Linked DNA regions of Lonchura striata. The protein of the gene in region 1 interacts with the protein of each later gene in a pairwise test. Links are inferred from orthologs where the notes say so. Each region holds a gene or a part of one and is shown in the gene's direction. Other genes may lie near its edges. The genes, in order: EPB41L3, YWHAG and MBIP.

Evidence for each region.
Region 2: the proteins of EPB41L3 (region 1) and YWHAG interact in binary tests that used the Homo sapiens proteins (3 or more experiments, as listed by UniProt). The link is inferred for Lonchura striata from reciprocal best matches to the Homo sapiens genes EPB41L3 and YWHAG.
Region 3: the proteins of EPB41L3 (region 1) and MBIP interact in a two-hybrid assay, tested with the Homo sapiens proteins (2 studies listed by BioGRID). The two-hybrid records come from large-scale screens. The link is inferred for Lonchura striata from reciprocal best matches to the Homo sapiens genes EPB41L3 and MBIP.

What each region holds. Positions count from the first base shown.
Region 1 is NC_134603.1:50,135,991-50,143,934, reverse strand, and holds the start of EPB41L3 (band 4.1-like protein 3), read left to right. Parts: upstream 1-4,885; 5' UTR 4,886-5,457; intron 5,458-7,944. UniProt on the Homo sapiens protein: Tumor suppressor that inhibits cell proliferation and promotes apoptosis. Modulates the activity of protein arginine N-methyltransferases, including PRMT3 and PRMT5.
Region 2 is NC_134622.1:5,708,347-5,716,023, forward strand, and holds the start of YWHAG (14-3-3 protein gamma), read left to right. Parts: upstream 1-4,591; 5' UTR 4,592-4,746; coding exon 4,747-4,833; intron 4,834-7,677. UniProt on the Homo sapiens protein: Adapter protein implicated in the regulation of a large spectrum of both general and specialized signaling pathways. Binds to a large number of partners, usually by recognition of a phosphoserine or phosphothreonine motif.
Region 3 is NC_134608.1:24,890,545-24,897,648, forward strand, and holds the start of MBIP (MAP3K12-binding inhibitory protein 1), read left to right. Parts: upstream 1-4,082; 5' UTR 4,083-4,091; coding exon 4,092-4,214; intron 4,215-7,104. UniProt on the Homo sapiens protein: Inhibits the MAP3K12 activity to induce the activation of the JNK/SAPK pathway. Component of the ATAC complex, a complex with histone acetyltransferase activity on histones H3 and H4.

The sequences.
Region 1 (7,944 bases):
GCTAAGAGGATGCTGTTATATGGTTTCCTCCATTTTTGGGATCTGTTAGAAGCAGTCTAAAAATACTGGATCATCATTCCTCACACTTGTAACTACAAGACTTTCAAAAAACTGTTATTAGATATGCACCTTTTTTTCTTTCCCCTCCCTTTTTTAACCTTGCAAACTATCAGTCCTGGTACTTAATACTCTTGTATTCTTGTTCTGGCAATTTGAAGGCATTACTATTGATGCTGAATTGAGCAGTTTTTAGCATCAAATCCTCATTATTACACAGGGTTGGGTATTTTAACTTGCTGAAGAGTTGGGTATTTTAACTTGCTGAAGAGATACCCCCTAAAGTTCCTAGAAGCACTCAACCTTTGCCAAGTGCCATAAATGTGTGCAGTTTGTGCAAACTTGTCAAGAAAATGGCCTTTTATTATTTTGTTGTTTTTTAATTGGGAAACAGATTATCACTATCTCGGCACTACTTCTGTCCTTCCTGCAGCAGCATTTATTTCAGCATATGAAGTTTCTTGAAGTCCCTTGCTCAAATATTGGTTGCACATTACTGCCCAGAACTAGCTTAGGAAGGCACTTTACTATCTCATGCAACCTTATCTGCCATTCCACAACTTCATAACAAACCCATTGGAACATGAAATGACCTTGGAAAGGTATCTTTCAATCTGACACGAAGCATTCTCTTAACAGGGAACAGCACTGCTCCACAAAGAGCTGATGTTTTCAAATGGATGCTTCTAAACTGATTTTATTGTTTTTTTAAAAGAAGGAAGGGAGATGGGTGGAATATTGAATTGGAAAGGAAAATATTTTTTTAAAAACAAACCCACTCAGCTGAAGTTGAAGCACCACTCAGCTTTAGGAGGTGTATTAAGAATGTACATATGATTGTGATACTTAAGTCTAGGGTGAAAACAAGTCTTTAATTTTAATCAAAGAAAAACAGTATTTCCTCTTCCAGTTCTGATTTGTTCATTCATAAGATCTTCAAAAGCCTAAATTATTAGTGGGATTAATTGAAAGCTAGCTGGGTGTGTCAAATGGAGAAAAGAAGTGATGAAGTCTGAAGGAAGCTTTACATTTAGTTGTATTGTTCTTGATATCATAATGTGATGCTTCTATATGGAAAATATTCCAGGACCCTTTCAGTCCCCAGAATACTGCTCCTCTGGAAAGGCTGCAAGAACACTTGAGAATCAGCAGCAGTCAAGGGGGGAGCCTTGCAGCTGTTGGGGGAATTAATGGAAGGGGTGCCTGGCCAGTAAGCTAAATGGGATTTCGGCCCAGATGCTGGACTTTACCTTGCATCAGGCCTTGCAAAAGGGTGGCGGGTGCGTGCCCATGGTGCTTTCACCTCTCGGTGAGATGGTGCCTCTCGTAGAGCAGCGCGGAGTGCCGGCCTCGGGAGCTCAGGGTGTGAGTGCCACCTGCTGGGTGCTGAGCCACTTTATATCAATTATACACCGTTTATACATATGCAGGATGCATTTGTGTTTATGTACATACGCTATGTTTATGCATGTATTTATTTGCATGCAGGTGTACAGCTTTTCCCAGACATGTTCTTGGGTGAAACTCTGAAACCTTCCCAAGACAAACCTAAGTTCCTCACCTTCTGAGGACTTAGCACAGCTTGTGTTTGGTGACACTCAAACGGGACTTGGGCTTTGAATTTCAGGGGTAAAGGGGAGGTTTTGATACTGCTGACATTTAATTCTGCCTTTGTTTTATTGAAGGCAAGCGAGAATTTTCAGCTGTATAGCTCATGGCTCATGGTGTGGTAAGCTTTCACAAGCACCTCAATGGTCAAACACCAGGCTGGGGAGATAGAACTGAAATGGAGGCCTAACAAACCAAATTCAACTTTGTCCATGTACCACTTCAATGTAAAATCTTCACAGCATTGCCGATTTTATATTTTTCTTCATCTTAACTCACATATGTCCAAAAGATTTATGATCATCCCACCTGGATATGAAATATCACTCCTCATTTAAATTAACTGCAGACCTATAGGACTTGCAGAACATTGATGGACTTTTTTTTCCCCTCCATTTTAAAGAATACATTTTTCATATTCACTCTCTAACATTTGCATGGAAGAGTAAAATATAAAAGTTTGATTCTGACCTAGAATTGCTACACAATAAATCCAAATCTGACATCATTCCCAGCAATGATTTTCCAGTTTCCACTAGCTTCCACCTCTCCTAGCCTACTGGGGCATTGGCTGGAATGATGTTTAAACACCAGTTTGATACAGCTGAATACTGAGTGATATCTGTTGCAGCACCAAGGCTTGTAGTTGTTCTGTGTTGTACTGACAGTATTAGGGAAAGATGTGCAGCCCTGGGTATTGGGGCTTTGCTGGACAGCTAACCTCATTAAGGCTTTATTGCTTACTTATTTTGTGGTGTGCTGGTGCCAGATGAGTCTTTTACCCTGTCTGTGGATTAGGAGTGGGTCCAAGCTGAGCTATAAAAGTTTTCAGGAAACTTTTAAATGCTTTCAGCTGGAAAACCTATATTGACGTACTCTTGTGATAAATTGATAAAACGCTTCACATGGTTTTGAAAGCGTATTCCATGACTTGAGATCTGTACTTTCAAGAGTGCATAACAGTCAGGAATGAGTTGATGGAGCAAAAAGCAAGTAGTGTAATTGCAGAGTTCATCTTCAAGTGTGATTCTAGCAAAAAGAAAAAGGCACCTGCCATTTCAAGAGGGATTGCAAGATAGATTTTTGAGGAAGGGGACCCAATAATAATGCATAACTCAAGTTCACTGTCCCCTAAAACGTTTACAGTTAATTTGATGCTTGACAAATTGTGATTTCAGTGTCTGGTGAAGAAGCAATTGACCCTAAAATTGCTGCCTGAAGCTGAACCAACGTTTTCAGTTTCATAACCAGTGTCATGCAAAAACAGTATGTGAAGAGGAACACGGGAAATGCAGAATGTCCCTGTGGTCTTGCTCTTGTGTATCTCTCCTCCCCCTGACCCAAGCAACTGGCATGTGGTGTAGGCAGTGGATGCTGCTGCAATTCTCAAGGCAATTTGCATCTCATTCATTCATCCCTCCCATTATGGCATATTGTGACCTTTTTTCTCCCCTCAAACCTTCTGAGCTGATAATGGAACTCTGCCCCTTATAACATGTCAAACTTCAACAACCACGTCCTGTTTTGTCTCAGAAGTGTATCTGCAGTATTGTCAATGGGCATGCTGCTCTCCTGTCCCCTCCCCATTCTAAATAAACCAGTTCAGCAGCTCTCCTGCATGAATTCTGCCAGCTCTGAGTCATCCATACATTTTTGTTTTGTTCCTTCCTCGTGTTTTTGCACACCATGTTTCCCGCCATTCCCACCTACTCAACATCTGCTTTCATGTGATCTCTCATATCCTGATAAATTTCTTAATTTTAAGCTTGCTCCATGCCACCATCAAAATCTCACTTTCCTTAATATGAAGGCCTGTGTCCAGTCAGGTATCTCAATGGCCTTTACAGTCCTTGGGAGTACCCTGAAGTCGTGTCTGCTCCAGTAAAAATGTTCTCCAGTAATCTCAGCTTCCCTTGCAGAGGTAAAAGACAGGTAATATCTTGAGGGCAGTCTGTAACTACAGTCACACTGACAGTAATGGTGCATGGTTGCAGCTCTGGGGAAGGACTGGGGTACACAAGACTGACAAGATAAATCAGAAATGAAGGCAAATCTTTTGCAATCTCTTTTCCCTTTCCTCTCCAATATTCTTCACAAGAAGGCACTGGAATGTCTCCTACTGTAAAAGCACTCCTACAAAAACAGCAACAACAACAACAACAAAAAGTTGTTTGCTAGCAAAGTGGTAAATATGTGAGCAATCATCTCCCTTTTTCTGCAGCATTTCGTGCTGTCTTATTAATGGGCCGTGAAGGCTGAGGAGGAGGTAACTCATCAGCCATTATCCATCGAAGTAGGGGAGCTGCCAATTAGTTGCTTGTGCCAGTTTCATTTTCTTTTTTGACACTAAGAGATAAATTTGCCTTCATATGGCATAGTTTCTGCAGAGATCAAATAGAAACCACATCCCCGCCCTCCTGAGTTGCTTTGAGATTTATGGAGGTGAAAATGAAAGTCCCTTTACTGGTACCCAGAAAAAGAGCATTGAGTTGTGAAGATGTTCCTGAGAACAGTTGGTTTGGAGAATTTGTATGATTGAAACATGTGAACTGAGAAGATATGTCCCAATCTGTTGGAAGGGACTTTGCCATGGCCTTTGGCTTTTTGACATCTTGTCAGCCTTGGCCTGGTGATCAATCTGATGGTCACAGAGCTGCTGGGAGATGATGACAGCATTTCCTTCACTGCCTCCTTTCCTTCCACCTCAGGCTTTAGCACTCTCCTCGCCTGCTCATCTGTGCTCAGGACCTTGTGCACTTCCTGAACTTGCACATGCAGTTGATTTCTCTAGTCAAAAGAAGAGTATGCCTTTGTCTGCCCTTACATACACACATGCAGTTTGTTTAGGTTATCCCATAGCAATTGGCATTTTGTAGCTATCTCTTTAAAGCATTTTGTCTCCAAAGGAATAATAATGAAAAAAACCCCAACCAAACAGAAAAGCAAAAAAGCCCCAAATGCTAAATTGGTCGAGTGTTTTGGAACAGTTGCCAAAAGAAATCAATGCTGAGCCTGGGAAAGCTGTAAAATTCTTTCTTGGGTTTTTATTAGTAGGAGAGAAGTGACACACACTGAGTTTGGTCACTCAGACACTGTTCAAAGTCCAAATTGAAAAAAAAAAGTTGTTTCAGCTTGGGTGTTCTTGATGATTTGCAGATGTGTAATAGTGCATAGATACTCAGCTGTGGGGTAGGCTGCAGGTTCCCTTAATTGCAAAGAATAAATTACCAATCCCCCATCCATGACTGAGGATTCTGAAACTGAGCAGTTGCTGTGGTGGCTTTGCCTTACTTCCTTGCAAATGTTACATCTCCTCATCAAGGATTTTGAAATGTCAGCAGTATAAGAGAAAGTAATATACCTTTTACTATTTGTGATACTGCACACCTGTTACTGCCTGATGGGGGAAGTACAGTAGAAAGTTTTTTTTCTTAAAAAGACATTTTTCTCCCCTCACAAAATGTTCCTTCTGAGGTCAGCCTTGACAGATCTTTATTAGATTGTAATTATTGTTCTTTTATTAACATGGATGTTGTGAGGGTCTTTTATTTCTTTCTAGAATAAATTGGAGAGTGGAGGGTTGTTTATGTTCAGTCCATTTAATGAGTTACCTGAAACTGTCTTGTAATGCAGACTTAACAGAAAGCAGTAGTGTTGTGTTGTTCATTGAATCTTAAGAGGTTTTTTTTTCTTCTTTTTCTCTTCATTTTCCTGCTGATGGCTATGACTTGCTGAAACCATGGATTTCACAAACTGGATGAACGGCTGCCTCCTGGAATATGGATAATTATGGTGAGTGTGCAAAATGAGTATCACTTCTGCTTGCTTGGGAGAAAGAGGAGAATGTTATGTATTGGAAGCTGTGCTTGATGAAAATTAAGGCTGTTTTTGCAGTGTTGGTTTTGTCAATGCAACAGGCAAAGCTTACTAAATTTCAAATTATTTTTGATGAAGTGGCTTTTTTTTTTTCCTTATTCTGTTTTATCACTGGCACAGATGAAGGAATTAACATACTTTGGATTAATTTGAAATAGTGTCATGTTATGGGATTGAGTGTTATTGTCTTTGTAATAACTTTTAAATTACTTTTCTGTAAGACATGCTGTGAAGCAACAGCTTAGAACATTTTAATTTTTCTTTTCTGACTTATTCAGTTGATTCTGCAAACAGTTCAGACAGAAGATTCATTGGATGGCTTTTTAGAAAAGCACTGTGTCACTGTCCTTACTGTTCCTAGTACTGGTGTTGCCTGTGGTGTGAACTTTTAAGGGATGATGTGTTGATAACATGTTTGTATTAAATATTGTAAAAGAATTTTCTACAAAAAGGTCTTCCATCACAAGTAGTCTCTGGGGAGGTTTCTTTTTATAAAATGAAAAAAAGCGCAGAGCTCTGTCAGGGTCACACTCTTTCCTTGTGTGCAGATGCCAGACCTGCAGAATATTCTTCTGGGGGTATCTGCTGTTGCTATCTGAGGAGGAGATTTTGGCCCTTTGGGCTTTTAATAAAGGTGGCTGGACTGCTTCAGGGAAAACATTTGCTTTGAATGTATCAACCTGGAGATCTGCTCCAGGAGCATGGTTGGAGGAGGTAGTATTTACCCAGTGTTGTCTGTAGGAGTAAAGAAGCTGCCTCTGAGCACTGAGGGGAGGTTGGCAGATTAGCAGTCTTGGGATTTATCTCTGAGCTATTTAGACCTAGCAGAAGTGACTTGTTGCTACTAATAGGTTTAATTAGGGAAAACAACTTGCTTCACCTCTCACTGTGTGGTGACAACCTTGCTTATGCACAGCCTTAAGTTTTGAGGGACAAGACAAATGTGATTTGGGAGCAGTGTTGGCTGTGTGTCCTATCTCAGAATGAGGTGAGTGTTCCTGGTGTGGTGATGGCCCTGTCCTGGGTAAGGCGTGGGAGTGAGTGTAGGGCTGGCACTGGCTACTTGCTGACAGATTGTGGCTGACTTTAGCTGGTACACACCTCTTCTGGGGGGAGGGAGGAAGGTTGACATTGGCTCTTTTTCCCTCTCCTTTTTCAGTTTCTTGAGTGTGCACAATCTGCATCACCTGCATTCTTGCGCTGTTGCAAAGAGCCTAAGACGAAAAGATGGACATCAAACTTAAGAATTTCTTATCAGGGACTGATTTAGAGAAAATTTGAGATAAAGCCCGATAGTTTACTTTCAAGTATTTCTGAAGTATTGTTGCTTAATCCTTTTTATTGATCCATAGCTTATGCTGGGAAGCTCTTGTCTCAGGGCGATTTCCAGAGTGCTGGAGGAGGATAATGGCATTAACCACATATCACGTGACCTTTTAGGCAGGATGAACATTTGTTGCACTACTGCATTTACCTTCACTCTTAGTTCTGGTTATGTCTTTTATTCTTCAGCTGCATGTCTTAAGAGTGCTGTTAAGAAGCCTTCTGCATGACTGTACATGGTGATTTGGTGATGAGTAGCAGTAAGGTCTGTAAGGCGACTGCTGCTTTGGATTGCTGTCCTTTGATGTGCTAAGGAGCCTTAAGGAGCCTGAGAGAGCAATAGCTTCTGGGGCCAGGAAGCAATGCATATTTCCTGTGATGGACACACTGCTCAAAACTCTTTGAGTCTGAAAACTAGCAGACTGCATTCCTCATAGCTTTGCTCCAGCATGTATCTTGCTTTTTTGGCCTATTTTGTAATATGCATGAATAATTGGCTCTCATGTTGCACCTATATAAAGAGATGCTTCTTCCATGTCTGGAAATGCAGTACTGAGTGCTGAAGTGCTGCCATCACCATGGCACATCAGGGAAAGTTTGATGTGATCACATGGGTGAGTTTTCCACCCAAGTTTTATTCTTAGATTTGTTTTTCACTTTCACTCTGATTTGGTTATATTTGAATTTTTGGCAAATGCTGTTAGCAAAGTTAAAATCTGAAACAGCAATCTAAATCACAGAGCAAAGTGTACTTTGCATAAACAGATAAATAGCAGAGCTAAAAGTATAAAGAGTGCTTTCTTTTCACTGAAAGAGTGACATCATTGCAGGCTCTTCTCAGTGGTGGAAGGCCAAGAGACAGTGGATACCAGCTGAAATGAGAGAAGTTCACACTGGTTACAAGGATAAAGTGTTTTCACTGAGGACAGACAGTTGGATAAGGACACAGGTTGTCTGGTGAGGCTGTGCAGTCTCCAACTGGGAGTTTTCAGGACCTGACTGAACAAAGCCCTGAGCTGGATCTCACAGCTGGCCCTACTTGAAGCAGAAGCCTGGACCTCATGAGCCTCCTCCTAGCCT
Region 2 (7,677 bases), on another chromosome or scaffold:
GTTCCAGGGAAAATCATTCCTGGAAGCCCTGAGGGGTAAGGGCAGCCCTGCTTGGAGACAGAGCTTATGCTAAACAGCACGGGAGGGCAGCTGCTGCAGCAGAATTAATTTGAGCTTGGAAAGTGCTTTGAAAGGCTGAGATGAAAGGCCAGGGCTGGGTACAAAGCGCTGCAGCTCCACAAACAGGGGGAAGGACACTCCCAGCAAAGTACCCTCGGTCTGTCATCAGCCCCACCAGCCACAGCCCCTCCATCGCCTCCTGCCCCAGGTGAGGCACCTCTGGCTCTGGGATGTTTTGGGGAGGGTTGGTGAAGCCCTGAGCTCACCCAGCTGCTGGTTTTGGGGTCCTACCTTGGTTGGGGTGACCCCCCAGCTCTGGTTTGTGTCAGGGTGGAAGGGCTGAGGCTGCACCGTGGGGGCTGGGGAGGTGCAGGGGAGGAAGGGACAGCCTTGTCCTGCTCCTGGCCAGGCTCAGGGAAAGGGGCCAGGGTGCCACAGCTTTGGGGTGCTGGGGACAGGCAGTCTGGCCCAGTGAGGGGTCAGGCAGGGAGGACATGAGGGCACCACTGTCCTGCAACCTCAGGGAACGAGACACCGAAGCCAGAGGTTTCCTCAGCTTGTTTCTCCACCAACATAACTGCAAGAGTCACAGAAGTGCTCCCCTGGGCAGGCAGCCCCTTCCTCAGGGCAAACCAAGCAGCAGCTGCCTGGGAGTGGGACTTGGGGTGACACCCAGCCCTGGGGCTGTGCAGGAGCCTGGGCAGCATCCCAGGGATGGGACCCATCCCAGCCCACACACAGGCCTGGGAAATGCCACCCTGTGTCCCCTGGCCTTCACAGCTTTGCCACCCACCAGCTGAAGACACCAAGCACTTGTGTCACTGCTGCTGTGAGGTGTGGCAGGTGTGCTGGTGTACCTGGGGTGACAACCTCTGGGGTGGGGACAGGCTGGGAGACCTGCACACACATCTCCCATGCTGGGCATCCCCTTCCCTGGGCATCCCCTTCCCTGGGCATCCCCCTGGCTCCAAGCAAGCAGACATGGAGGGAAAAGGCACAAGGGTAGGGGCACATGACTGTCACTGTCCCATAGGAAATGAGGGGTGAGGATTTCTGGATCCATTTTCAGAGCAGTCAGCAGCTCACCCAAGCAAACCTCCAAGTCACAGAGAATTTCCTGCCTTCCCTCACAGTGTCACAAGGCATTGACAAGACGTAGCAGGGAAGGCAAGAAAATGCAAAGAGAAAGACTCTCCTTCCAAGCCACAGGAATTAACAAAGTGGCACATTTGAACGCAGAGAAGTATTTTTAATCCCGCAGGCAGAATTGAGGTTATTAGGTTTTTCTGGGACATCTGCAGAACAGACCCACATCCTTTGGGTCATTGTGATTTCCCAGCACAGCAGCTGCCCCAGCCTCTCACTGAGGGGTGTCTGCAGGCACCAGAGGAGGGAAAAGGGGATTTAGTGATGTCCAGCCAGGTAACACCTCCAGCTGCCTGTGCTGCCCACCAGAACCTTCTAACTTGGACCATCCACCACCAAACCTTCACCCCACTGCTGCCCAGGCTGTGCAGCAGAGGAATTAGGTGTTGTGAGGGGTGCTGATTTATACATCAGAGCTCAAAAAGGGGGCTGGATTCACTGCAGATAAATATTACAGCCAGCTTGCTACTCTGAAAAATTTACAGCATCATGAATATCCTGTTCTGACCTGTGATGGGGAAGGAAATCATCTGCGTTGGGAAATGTATTTATGGCTCTGGTGCTCTGACAGAAATAAATCAGTATTTGCTCGTTTTGGGGCAAAAACAGGGTCACTGTAAATCAGCAGAGCTGGGCTGGCTGAGAATGTGCCAGATTTATGGAAAATACTAGATAAAATTCCAAAGGTTTGTATGGAGAGGCAACAGTTTTTATTAGGACTGTTGATATATTTGGAGAAATCAGGGGATCCTCCAGGTGCAAAAGTACTTCTTCAGGTCTGGGCTTGTGTTCAATATTGTCCGGGAGAACCCAGGAATTGTACCCAAGGGATAATATTATTTATTTTCCAAGTTAGGGGATGCATATATCTGGCCCAAATGCAGTAGGATCACTCAGAAGGGGATGAGCAAGGAGTCTGCTCTCATTCATTCACAGACATGAGCGTGCTTGGTTCAGGTGATGCCCCACAAATATCTCCTGATTAATGAGAAGAAATGGCAGCAATAGCTGAAAAAATAATTTGGGAACCAAACTCCTTTAATATTCTCTTGCACTCTGCATTTTTTTACACATACCCTCTCCCAAAACTGGCGCTAGGGCGAAAACAACCCAGAGCCCCACTGTGGGAGCTCTCCAGAGATGACAGCGAGCCCCTGGGGAGGAAGAATGAGCCTTTATCGGGGGAGGGGAATAAATTGCCCTTGTCTGTGGCATCTGTCCTGGGGATGGCCGGGCAGTAAACAAAGGCTGGGCACAAAGCACAAAGGCTGTTCTCACTCGGGAGCCACGTGTGCCCTGCGGGGTGTGAGGCCGGGGGTGCGAGCGAGGAGACAGCGTCTGATTTTTGGGGAGGAAATGGAGAGGATCCGGTCGTGTTTCTGGTTCTGTTTATCAGAGAGGGGGATTTCTTCTGCTCTCGGAAACTGTAAACAAAGGAGGATTTTGTGCTACACAAATCCAGGCGATGCCATTCTCTGTTATTTGCAGAGCAGTGCAAAACCCACATTAAACTTGCCCCAAAAGGGTGTTGCTCACCACCAGCAGCATTCCCAAACCAGTTTGTCCCCACCCACGTGGGTGAGACCTTGGCCTTTGGCTCTGGAGAGCCACAACACTGCCCTGAGGACACCAGCACATCCCAGTGCCACCCAGGGTTCCTGTGGGAGGTTTCAGAAGGAAACCACAGGGCACAGGGACTGGCAGGTGGGATGGCTGAGTCCTCTGAGCTAATTCCCACACATCCCAAAGCACCTGTGTGGGGACAGTGGCTTTGGGAAGGGCCAGGGACATGTGGCACGTGAAGGACAGTGTTCATCTGTGCATCAGCACTGCCTGGCTCTCTCCAAGGAGGGTGAAGCGCTTTCATGGGGATCACTGTTTGTTAGACCCCTTTCCTTTTTCCCACTGCCACAGCATTGTCTCAGCACTGCTTTATCCAGAGGCTTTTGAGGAGAACAGGATCCATTAAATCCTTTCATTCCTCCCAGTGCTGTAGCCTCCTCTCAGCATCACTTCATCCATAGAGTTTTAGGAAAGTGGGATGTCTTATGACTCCCAGTGGCTCTCCCCATGTAGCAGAGCCCCACATGGATGGAGCAGACATGTTTTCATCCCATGGGTTATCCATGTGTGAGTGCACTGTGGGCCCAAGGTGGCTGTCATTACCCACTACCCAGAGCTGATCTCCAGTGCCTCTCCTCTGTGGATTGGGACCCTGGCCATGGTGGGGAAAAGGGGGCAGGGGAAAGCAGGGCACAGGGGCTCACCCCAAGATTGTCACCATGCCACAGTGTCAGAGACCCCAGGCACAGCAACACTGCCAGGGTCTCCACAGGGGAAGGATGCATGGGCTGTGAGCGGGACCAGGACAGGAGCGGGTCGGGGTTTTGAGTGGATCAGGGATTTTGGTGGGATATGGTTGTGAGTGGGTTTGGGCAGTGGGTGGGTTTGGTTGTGAGTTTGGGCAGTGAGTGGGTTTGGTTGTGAGTGGGTTTAGGTGGTGGGTGGGTTTGGGCAGTGGGTGGGTTTGGTTGTGAGTAGGTTTGGGCTGTGGGTGGGTTCGAGCTGTATGACCAGGATGTGTGTGGGTCAGGCCCGCTCGTGGGTCTGGCCATGAGTGGGACTATGCTGTGCGTGGCTCCAGGCTCTGAGAGGAGCACTGGGAGTGACCGTGGGCTCCGAGTGGGCACCGGCTGTGAGTGGACCCGGGCTGTGACCGAGTCCTCTGTGTGTGCGAGCCCAGCCTGTGGCTGTGCCGGGCCGCCAGAGCGTCCCGGAGAGTGTCCCCGCCCGGGACCGGGCCGTGACTGTGCGCAGCCCCAGGGTGCGATCCCGCCCCGCCCAGAGCCGTTTGGTGCCCAGGCCCACCCGGTGCCGCTTGGTGCCCCGGCCCGCTCGGTGCCAGGGTTCGGTACCCAGGCCCGCTCGGTGCCAGGACTCGGTACCCAGGCCCGCCCGGTGCAGGGTTCGGTGCCCAGGCCCGCTCGGTACTCAAGCCCGCCCGGTGCCAGGGTTCGGTGCCAGGGTTCGGTGCCCAGGCCCCGCTCGGTACTCAAGCCCGCCCGGTGCCAGGGTTCGGTGCCCAGGCCCGCCCGGTGCCTCCCGCGGGCCCCCCCGCGCTCCCGGCGCGAGCCGCGCCCTCCGCGGCCCACCCGGGCCGGGCTCCGGTGAATCAGCACAGGCGGGGCCTAGGGGGGCCGAGGGGGCGGTGCCTTGGCGCGGGGCACGACGGGAGATGTAGTCCCGAAGGGCGAGGCCGGGCCGCATGAACCCGGCGCCGCTGGCGCACCTGAGGACTTCATCTCCCGTCGTGCCCCGCGGGCCGGGTGTGGGCGGGGCCGCGGGGGAGGGGCGGGGCGCGCGCAGGGGGGTTGTGGTGGCCCGCGGCGCGCGCACAGCACCGGGCGCAGCCGCCGCCGCCGCCTCAGCCGCAGCAGCGCCGAGCCCGCCGCGCCCTCCTCGTCCTCCTCCTTCCTCTCCTTCCTCCTCCTCCCGGAGCCCGCAGCCTCCTCGCCCCTCTCCCCCCCGGACCCCGCGAAGATGGTGGACCGCGAGCAGCTGGTGCAGAAGGCCCGGCTGGCCGAGCAAGCCGAGCGCTACGACGACATGGCGGCCGCCATGAAGAACGTGAGTCCCGTCCCGCGGCCGCGGCGCTCCCCACACGCTCACACACACCCCCTCTCCTCCTCCTCCTCCTCCTCCTGCCCCGCCGGGGCCGCCCTCCCCGCCTGTTCCCCGCGGCGGGCGGTGGGCTCGGCCGGGGCCCGCGGGGGTGTGAGGGCCCCGCTCCCTCGCCCTCCGGCAGCCCCGCTGCCTCCCGCTCCCGCCGCTCTCCCCGATCCAGGCTTACTTTGCTTTCTCCCGACCCCCGTCCCTGCCCTAGAGCCCCCCACGCATCCTTTTCCCTGCTCTGGGGCCCCCACGCATCCTGCTGCTCTGCCCTGGAGCCCCCTCCCCGCATCTTTCGCCTGCTGTGGGGCTCGCGTCCAGCCCCACGCATCGCTCCCTCCTGCCCTAAACCCCCCCCCGCATCTTCTCCCTCATTCCGGGGCTCCCACCCAGTCGCACGCACCCCCCTGACTGCCCTAGAGCCGCCCCCCCATCCTCCCCCTGCTCTGAAGCCCCTGCCCTGCTGCCCCCACCCAGCCGCACGCATCCCCCTGCCCTGGAGCACCCCCGCACCCTCTGCTCTGCCGTGGGGCACGTTGCCTCCGCAGCCCTGCAGCCCCCCGCATCACCTTCCAGCCGCAGTTCTTCTCTCCCCCCGCCCCAGGCCCCCTCCCATGCTCCCCTCCCCAGCAGGGCACAGGAGCCAGGCGGGTGCGGCGCTGCCGGGGGGGGTCACACCGGCTCGGGGCCCCGTGGGGCGAGGCAGGGGGGGACCCGGTGTTGGGGGGGTTCGTGCACATCTCTCCCCGCTGCCGAAATACCTCCCCGTGCATCCCTTCCCACGCGTGGTCGCCGGGGCTGATGTGTGCCCCTGACCCCAAAGATCGGGAGCCCTTTCACTGTCAAAGCTCTTATTTTTACTGCTCTTGGTTGGAGATTTATGAATTGAGTCATGTTGTATTCATTTCACGCTCTTAAAATAAAGACTCTGCATATAGCAGGCTGATCTGATTTGTGACACTGAACGCTCCCCTTCAATACTGACATTTTGACAATATAAGAAGGGGAAAAAAAACATATCTCTGATCTGATCTTGCAAACAAAGCAATCGTGGGAGGCAGGATCAAGTCATTCCAGAAGATTCTGCATTTGTCATATTGCAGAGAGGCTAGACTGGGTGGAGGGAGGGAGGGGGTGCTTTAAAGGGGAAAACTGTTCTTTATGTTTGTCTTCTTAGTCAGGTCTGAACCTTTGCTGGGAGCTGGGGTGTCCTCCCCGGCTGATGAAAAGTGAATGCCGATCTGGGAATGTCGCAGTCTGCCGTGGGTGCAGCTCTGTTTGCCCATATTGCACCATTTTGTCAATAACCTTGCATTTATCAAACAGACAAAACTGTCACAGCCCGAGCCCGGGGAGGGAGGAGATGTCTTATCAAGGAATGAAATACGGATAATCGGGACGAGATATTATCACATTAAACCAGCCGGGCTGTCCCTCTGCTGCACTATGGCTTTTATACCATTTTCTGATAGCGGCGTCTATTCATTTTAAAGCAAAGCCTGCTGTGTGAGCAGATCCTACAGCTCATTTCCTACGGATAATACAGCCGCCGTGACAAAGCCAGCAGGGATATGCCCGGGACTCAGAGCGGTGTTGCACTGTGAATTTCTCTTAGCCTGCTTTCCCCGGGCTGGGTGCTCGGACCCGAGGTGCTGTTAAGAGCTCCTATGTGTGATTTTTCCTTACGGGCCCTGGTGAAACAGTAACCCGGGCTAACGCCTCTTATCAGCTGCCGGGTAGTTTGGCCGTAAGGAAACGATCCCCAGCGGGAGCGCTGCCGCCTCCCTTCACCAGCAAACAAAAGGCAGAGCTTTGTTCTTCCTTTCTGCACCCAGCTCCGGCACGGCCGGTCCGGCGGCCACGGCCGTGTCACAGCCGTGTCACAGCCGGTTATCCCCGTCCCCGTGCGCTGCCCAGCCCCCAGCCCCGGTTGTGCGGGAGGCTGATGACCTCGCACTCATTTCCGTAGCAACGCCTAGTGATGTCATATGCCATGGTCCAAGCTGCAATGCACCCAGGCGGTAGCAGAGAGCATGCGGGCTGCGCCTAGCGAAGGTGATGCAGAGCCATCCTGCCCTCCAAACCTAGCCCTGCCTAGCACCCTGCTGAGAAATGCTGGCTGGTTCTCCTCTCACACCCGTCCTGGCAATGATGGCCATAAAAGAGGCTCGTTTTCCTGCAGCTTCATCTCACCCTTGCGTTTTGGTGGCCACCTCGCATGGGGTGGGTTGTTCAGCCTCAGCCCTGTCTGCTTGGGAACCTGTGCTGAATGGCTGTGTTAGTGGTTTAAAAAGAAAATGGTGTGCTGGGGTTCTTGCTGTCTGCTGATTCATCTAGTGATGTCTGGGATCGCAGTAGTTTCTCAAAATTATTATTTATATATAATAACTGCTACCTCCTTGCTTGCAAGTGCTAGCTGCCAGTGCCTCTACCTGCAGTTGTGTTGCTGCTGCAGGAGCAGGATTGCTCCTTCAGCCCCCAAAAGGGGCAGGTTTACTGAGGGGTCTCTGAAAACACAGCAGATGGTCCCCTCACCTACCAGAGGGAGCAGAAGGTGGTGCCACACCCAGGAAGGGTGCAGGGCTGGGCCCATCGATCCAGGACATGTCTTCATGACCTTGATCATGTCCCGTGTCACCTCAGTGCTGTCTGGGGGTACCATCAACCCTGTCAGGTGTTGGGGGACAGGAAAGCTCTCTGCTGGTCCCCAGTGTGGTCAGACATTGGCCTTGGGCTAGCTTGCTGGAGTTTCACTTCCCACAGTGCTGGTGATTGGAGCAAGCTGCATTTTTGTCTGGTTGA
Region 3 (7,104 bases), on another chromosome or scaffold:
AAGAAGAGCTGTTGAGCTAGGACTTGCAGGGGTCAGTTCTCAATCCCAAATTATATAACTGAGCTGAAGGATTTTGTGCAGAGTGCTAATCATATTTGCAGATGGCAGCAAGAAAGAAGGGAGGCAGGTATATAAAATTTAAATATGTTGTAAAATTACTAAACAGCAACAATGAAAATAAAGACCAAAGTAAGGAAGAGCATGAAGCAGTATTAGAACATAACAAGGATAAAAAAATTCTGAAAGGAAGGGTCATAGGTACATGTGCATGCCAGGATAAGGACACTAAACAGAGTGCAGGCAACAGCATCACAAATGTTAGGAATGATCAAATTACTGCAAGTCATAACTGTAAGATACTTATAGGTTTGTTGGTTTCCCTTTTTTCTCTAACAGCAAATACATCAGGGTTGTATTTCCGCCAAGACATTTTGTACAAATCCCATTCCAATCCTGTGTGAACAGGGCTTTCTAAACTTTGGTAAAGTGAAAGGAACACCAAAAGGTCAGCAGAGACATTTGCTTTGAAGGAATGCAGCTCCTATTGGAGAGCCAGATTTGCAATTCAGAGCCTTATTTGATGAACTTAATAAGCACATGACTACATTTTAGGGATGCAGGCTGAGGTTTTCTCCAGCTAGGCTAGTGCTTAAAATTAGGCACTAGCTTAAGTATCTTGTTGAAACAGTATCCATAAACTTTGTTGGGGTGATGCCTTTTCCTGGGTACTTGGGAAGCAACAGAAGTGAAGTGCTCTTAATTCTGAAATTAATGCTTGGAAAAAAAAAAATAAAAGCTTTTATTTTGGAGGGACTTGGTAATTTCCTATTTTAACCCTATTTATCGATTTAATGAATATGTTACTATCAATTTCGTTTTTATAACTGTGTTAAATTAGCCCAGCACTGATAATCTGAATATTAGGAAAAACTACAATTACAGCAAGGTGTCAAACTGAACTATTTTCCTGGGGCTTTGGACAGAATTCACAGTATTGTTTTTATCTTTGAAGCTCCAAATTATTTCAGGTTTTTTTGGTTGGTTGGGGTTTTTTGTTTTGTTTTGTTTTGTTTTGTTGTTGTTGTTTTGTTTGTTATTTTTTTTTTCTGAAGCATTGCCTCTTTTGCCTTTCTCTGTGCTACAGCTGACATAAGCAGAATTACACAGCATGAGCTTTTCAATTCAGGAGAAAAAATCTGCTTATATGTTACACAGTCTCCTTAGCTCAGCACTTCACTCTTTGGCACAACAAACCTCAGTGACTGGTACATTCTGCCAAGACTCACCTTTCTTTGGGTATTAGAGACAAAATTAAAGAGTTCAGAAATTGTGTACTGTAATATTCAGGAGAAGAAAGAGTTATGACAGTAATGACCAATGGAGAGAACTTGTGTCAATTTACTAAGGTTTACTGTGATTTTAAATAGCTTAAAGGCACCTAGACTTCGAAAGAGGTGAATGTTTATCATTTTACAAACAAAATAAAAAGAAGCAATAGTCCAAAACCAAAAGAAAATAGTTTTCTAGTTCAAAATAATTTTACTCCAACCACAATATTTGATATTTAAGAACTTAGTGGATTTGTGCTTATATTTTTCAAGGTGTTTTCAGTGGGAGAGGCTTTTATATACCTCAATGATCCATTCAGGGATCAAAGCTGCAAAAGATTTAATATTATCATGACAGCTCTATCCCTGAGTGTTGAAAGCAACTCCAGATTACTCCCTCCCTTGTTTGTCATATTATTAAAATATCTGGACATTACTGCCAAGTTAGACATATTTAAATCTTCTGATTCCTCTTTCTAAACAAGTATCTCTATCTCTGGCAATCTACTTCTTGCCAGTTTTCTATAAATTTATTCCAAATTACCAGTATCTTTCCAGCAATGAGAGCTTCCAATATTTTATTGCTTCACCAGCTTTAGTGAACATGCCATGTAATTTCCTCTGTCTTTATGGAGGCCTGGATTTACTGTGGCTAGCTTTACTTCCAGAGGCAATTACAAGTGAATTAATTTTTACTGTGCACTACATCCAGTGAGTATATAATCATCTTCTGGAACCATTCTGTTCTGGTCTGTCTCTTCCATTAGATACGAAGGTTTGACATTTTTGCCTTAGCTGTTTGTTTAATGCATTGCCTAATTTAATCTGTGAAACATTAGATAATACCAAATTTATTCAACTAGCAGCTGCAACTCAGATCAAGGTCTTCTGAGACAGAGCAAGTAGGAAGAAAGTCTTTCCCCATGGGAATCATTACTCTTTCTCTAAGAGGAGACATTTGCAAACAGCAGGAAGGCACCCAAGATCCAGTTTCTGCTTAGTAAATAAAAGGTGGGCATCAACAGCTCTACTGACTACTTTTGCCTACTCTCCTTGTAACGAGCACAGAATAATGGTGCTCATTACAAGGAGACTCCCACTGTCTTTGAAATCCTCCACATTCATTAAATCTCCCTTATATTTCCATGTATCTTTCTGATATTTATATGCTTACCTATTTATTTTTCATTTGAAATGTTTTTTACCCCAAAACAACCTCTGGCTACAGGTAAAGATAACATGCTCAAAAGGAAAGGAAAGATCTTAGATCTCTCAGTTAGGAAGGCTGCACGTACCCATTGATAAAGTAGGATACATCTGCTCCATCACTCTAGGAAAGCTGGAATCTATCAGGTAGCTGAGCACTCATCAATTGAAGTAAAGAATTGGTTCAAATGCCTGGACCTGTTCTGTCTTATCAGGTCATTGGGAATTCATTCAGGATAAACTGCCTTCTCTGACACCGATGCCAGGTTGTTACATCTGTGATCCATAATTCTGCTCTGGCCAGCAGATCACTTATGTATTAATTCAGTGTTTTAGCACTGGAGGGGAAGGGGAAAGGGCAGTGTATTTTCCTTTATTCTTGAATTCTTCATTATTTGATCCAAATGACATTATTACATAGTGCAGGGTTGCTCCAGCTACGTGTCCAGAGACAAAAACTGCAAGAGTCAAGGTTAGCTGAAGCAGCCCTTGATCGTAAGCTGGAATTACTACTGTTGCACAGAAGTGCAAAACAGAATTCCACAAACGTTCTTAACTTACTACCATATTCTGTGCACGTGTTCAAAATACTATCTGACAAAAACTGTATTTTCAGGAATTAAATACATTTCTATGTTTCAGAGCTTCTAAATCACAAATACATTCTGCCGTATTTCTGAATCCAAACATTGGTCCTCATCAACGCAAGCAAATGCCATCTAGTTCAGCCTAGATAAGATATTCTTGCAAAATGCAGACATCAATGCATATGTTTGTAATCATTAAACACTGAAGTCCTCTTCAGAACTAATTTTTCTCTGGAACTTGAGCAGAGCTTTCTCTGCTTGAGTCCCATCAAATGTTGTGGGTTGCTGGTGCTGAAAGCCTTGTTTAGTAGCATTTATTTTCACTACATTAAGGTATGTCTTAGCTGAAAAAGAACCCTCAAAACATCAGTCAAATAAATTCATCTTCCTTTCTAATATTTTTATTTAACAATGTTTTAACATTTGTATATACTACTGCACTCACTATTTGTCAATTGAATAAAAAATATAGTCAGGGAACAGAAAGAAGTCACAGATCAAAAATAGGTATCAAAACAAACATCGGGTAGGAAACCTTTGAATGCATTTCTACTTATATTTCTTAGGAATTTCTACTAAATTTCTTAGGGAAGAAATTTAAAAGTAAAATGTCTTACAGGGAATAGAATTTTCCGACCCCCAAAATCAAGAGTACTCTCACAAAACTCGTAGTCTGATTTAAAAACAACCTTGCTGCAGCCAGAGGAGTCAAGGCTTTGAACAAAACGCATGAACGCACAAAAGTGAGGGGCAGCCAGCCAGGCCCAGCAGAAACAGGGGCAGCAGCGCGATGAAAGGCAGCCCCGCGGGCCGCTCCCCCGAAGGAGCCCGCGCTGCGCCTCCCGGCAGCGCGCCCCCACAGCGGCCCGAGCGCCGCCATTGGCTGCCGCGCCTGTCCATCAGCGCGCGGGGCGGGGCCAGCGCCAGGCCTTCGTCATCGCGGGGCGACGGCGCGGCCCGGCCCTGCGTCATGGCGGCGGCGGTGGCGGTGCCCGGCCCGCTCCCGCCCGGCGCCCGCGCTCCGGAGGCGGACCCTGCGGCCTCCGAGGTAGCGAGCAGCGCCCTGCGCTGTCTGGCCGGGCTGGCGGGGCAGGTGAGTGCGGGGCGGGCGGAGGGAGAGGTCCTGGGCGGAGCTGGGCTGGGCGCCGCGCCCGCCTCACAACACTTGGCTTTGGGGCGCGAGCAGGGCTGGCTCCTGCTTCCCCCCGGCCTGCGGGGCAGATAAGGCAGCTGCCTCTTCCGGGAGTGCCCGCCTGGTTTCTGCCGGGGCTGGGCGGCGGTGCCGGCTGCCTCCCCCGCTCCCTGCGGCCGGGGCAGCCCCCGGTGCGTGGCTGCTGCTCCCGCTGCGTCTCTCCCGCAGCCGGGACCGTGCCTTGGCCTCGCAGTGACGGGACCTCGCGCGCCGCTTTGTAGTTTGACGGATGATAGCTTCCGTGGGAAAGTGCAATTTGCTTAATTGCTGTATCTTATTAATTAATTGCTTAGAGTTGAAAAGCTGCTGAAAGCTTGCAGTACATTAAATCAAAATAAATTTTCAGGAGCTTAAAGTTAGCCCTGCCTTGGTAATGGCATGCTATGAAACACGCAGTGCCTCTAAGGGTCAGAAGTTTTAAAGGTGCTCTGCTCTTTGGCACTTAAATTGAAACACCTACTTTATGTTTAGTAATGTCTGTGAGTTGTGAAACAAATGTTACAGTAGTAGTGGAAGGCCCGCCCTTGTCAGGAGAAGGTTTTAGTAATAACATTTTTATTGGTATAAACAATTTATACATTAATTTTCCACTGTGGAAACATTTATGTAGTTCTGTGAAGACAGAAGTACACTCTTACTTCAAGAGTTAGCAGTTTGAAAGTTTGGGGCCAGATGATGAACAATATATGCAGGAGCTAGTGTAACTTAATGTATGTTTGGTAAAGAATTGGTCTCTTAGATGCAGAGGCAGTTTAGGAGTAGCTGCTGGCTGATCTGAAATGATATTTTAGAGTGTTTCACTTCTCATCTGTATAGAATTTTATTATACTTGCTTTTCTCCTCCAACTATGCTAGCAGTTGTCTCTATTTTCAAACAAAAGGCAAGAAAAATTAAGGGCTTGGTAATTCAGAGACTTAGTTAAGAGTCTCAGTTTTCCTCTCTCTAAAATGGTTAAAAACTGCTATGGCTTTTGAACAGGAGTACAGCACTAAACACTGTGATGTCCAGACACAGCTGACGCATAGGATTACCAAGGCATGAAAACTGTTGAGGTTTAAAGGCCCCATAATCCTTCCTGGTGAAAATTCTGAATGTGATCAATGAAGAGCTAGTGACTGTCAGTTTATCTAAGTGGGAGGACAACACTATGAATGACAGTAATAGAACACATCAGAGAAAAGCTGGAACTCTTGTATTTATGAAAAATACAAAGGAGAATAAGGGGAAAGTTTCCTAAGATTTTAACTGGGGTATTCATCAAAAGTTTATGAATTGTTTATAAACTACATTAAAAACTCTTATTCTACCTCTTGACTTCAGCAGCTTACTTTTTCTGCAAAGCTGCCTCTACAACTAGCATGTCATTGGAAAGGCCCTGGTGATTTTTAAAAATAACTGTGTGTGCACAGACCATTGTGAGAGAACTGCTTAGAGTTGCTACATCCCCTCAGTAGTTACAGTAGCTATGGTGCAGAGTATAATTGTCTTCTTTGGTGTTTGGAGTGTCTTCTTTCCTTGACAACAGACACGTTTCACTGTGTCACATTCAACAGTGCACTGGTTGGATAAGGATCTGGTTGCTCCATCTTAGCTGTGAAAGTCCTTTTGATTTCCAGTTGCTGACACTTGTCTGCCAGTGCTTGAGTACTGACAGATTTAACTGCTTAGGGATTCTAGCAAACTGCCTTGCATTTCTGACTGAAACTACTGATTCCCCATTTCCCTTTTATAGAGATGACTAAGCATGTGCCAAATTGTTAGCAGTCACAGTTTGATTCACTACAGTAGTTTAAGTTGGTTTTATGCTAGTAAATTGGGCAGTAAGCAGGAATATTTCTGGCACAGGATTTTTTTAATGGAGCAATCAATGGCAGTATGTGACCAGGACATCTGAGAATAACAGCTCTTAAAACCAATATAGCTGATCCTGAAAAGTTCTTTAAGATTCAAATGATAGCCAGTGTTTATGTAAAACAAATTTCAAAGAGCTGAAATTACATATAATCCTGTAAATTGAATAGGCTGTGGACTTGTAATTAGTCAAAGGCTTTGAAGTTATCAAAACATTGAATTTAAAAATCTGTTTGTCACAGTTCTAATAAGTAGTAGGATGTGAAAGACTGAGAACTTACTCTGTGGTACTAGAAACTTCTGTTGATGCAGGAGGGCTTTATATTTTTATTTAAAAGCAGTGTCTGAATTAAAAATATGACTGTCCTCTAAATGATTCTAAGTTCTGTTGCTTTTTGTGCCTTGAACCACCTGGACAGGAGGTGTCCATTGTGATATTGTGAAGGCACATATCAGATTATTATTTTTTAAAAAGGAGACTTATTAGGAAATTGCAGTAGCACTTCTATTTTGTTTCATTTGGATGACTTTAATCTGCCCCTTTTTTACCCTATCAGTAGACTATAATATAGCATACAGGAGATATTACTCTAGAAACTTCAGGCAGAAATACATGCTTCAGATGATCACATGCACAATGGCTTAATTCCTAAATTAAATTTTATTCCTGCTATGTTCTAAATACATTCTTGCTTTTGAAACTTCTTCAAGATTAGTATATCCTAGAACATTACTTCTCCTACATCCTGTGTACTTAGCTTAAGTACTAAACAGGGATAACCATTTGTGAAAATTATCTAAAATACATTATATATCTAGTCAGACTGTCTCCTTTGCTATGTAATTTGGGAACTGACCCTGAATTTATCAAGGCTGATCTTTGACTAAAGAAGGAAGGTTCAGGCTTATAATTCTTTACAAAATTGTGTTAATGCTGGG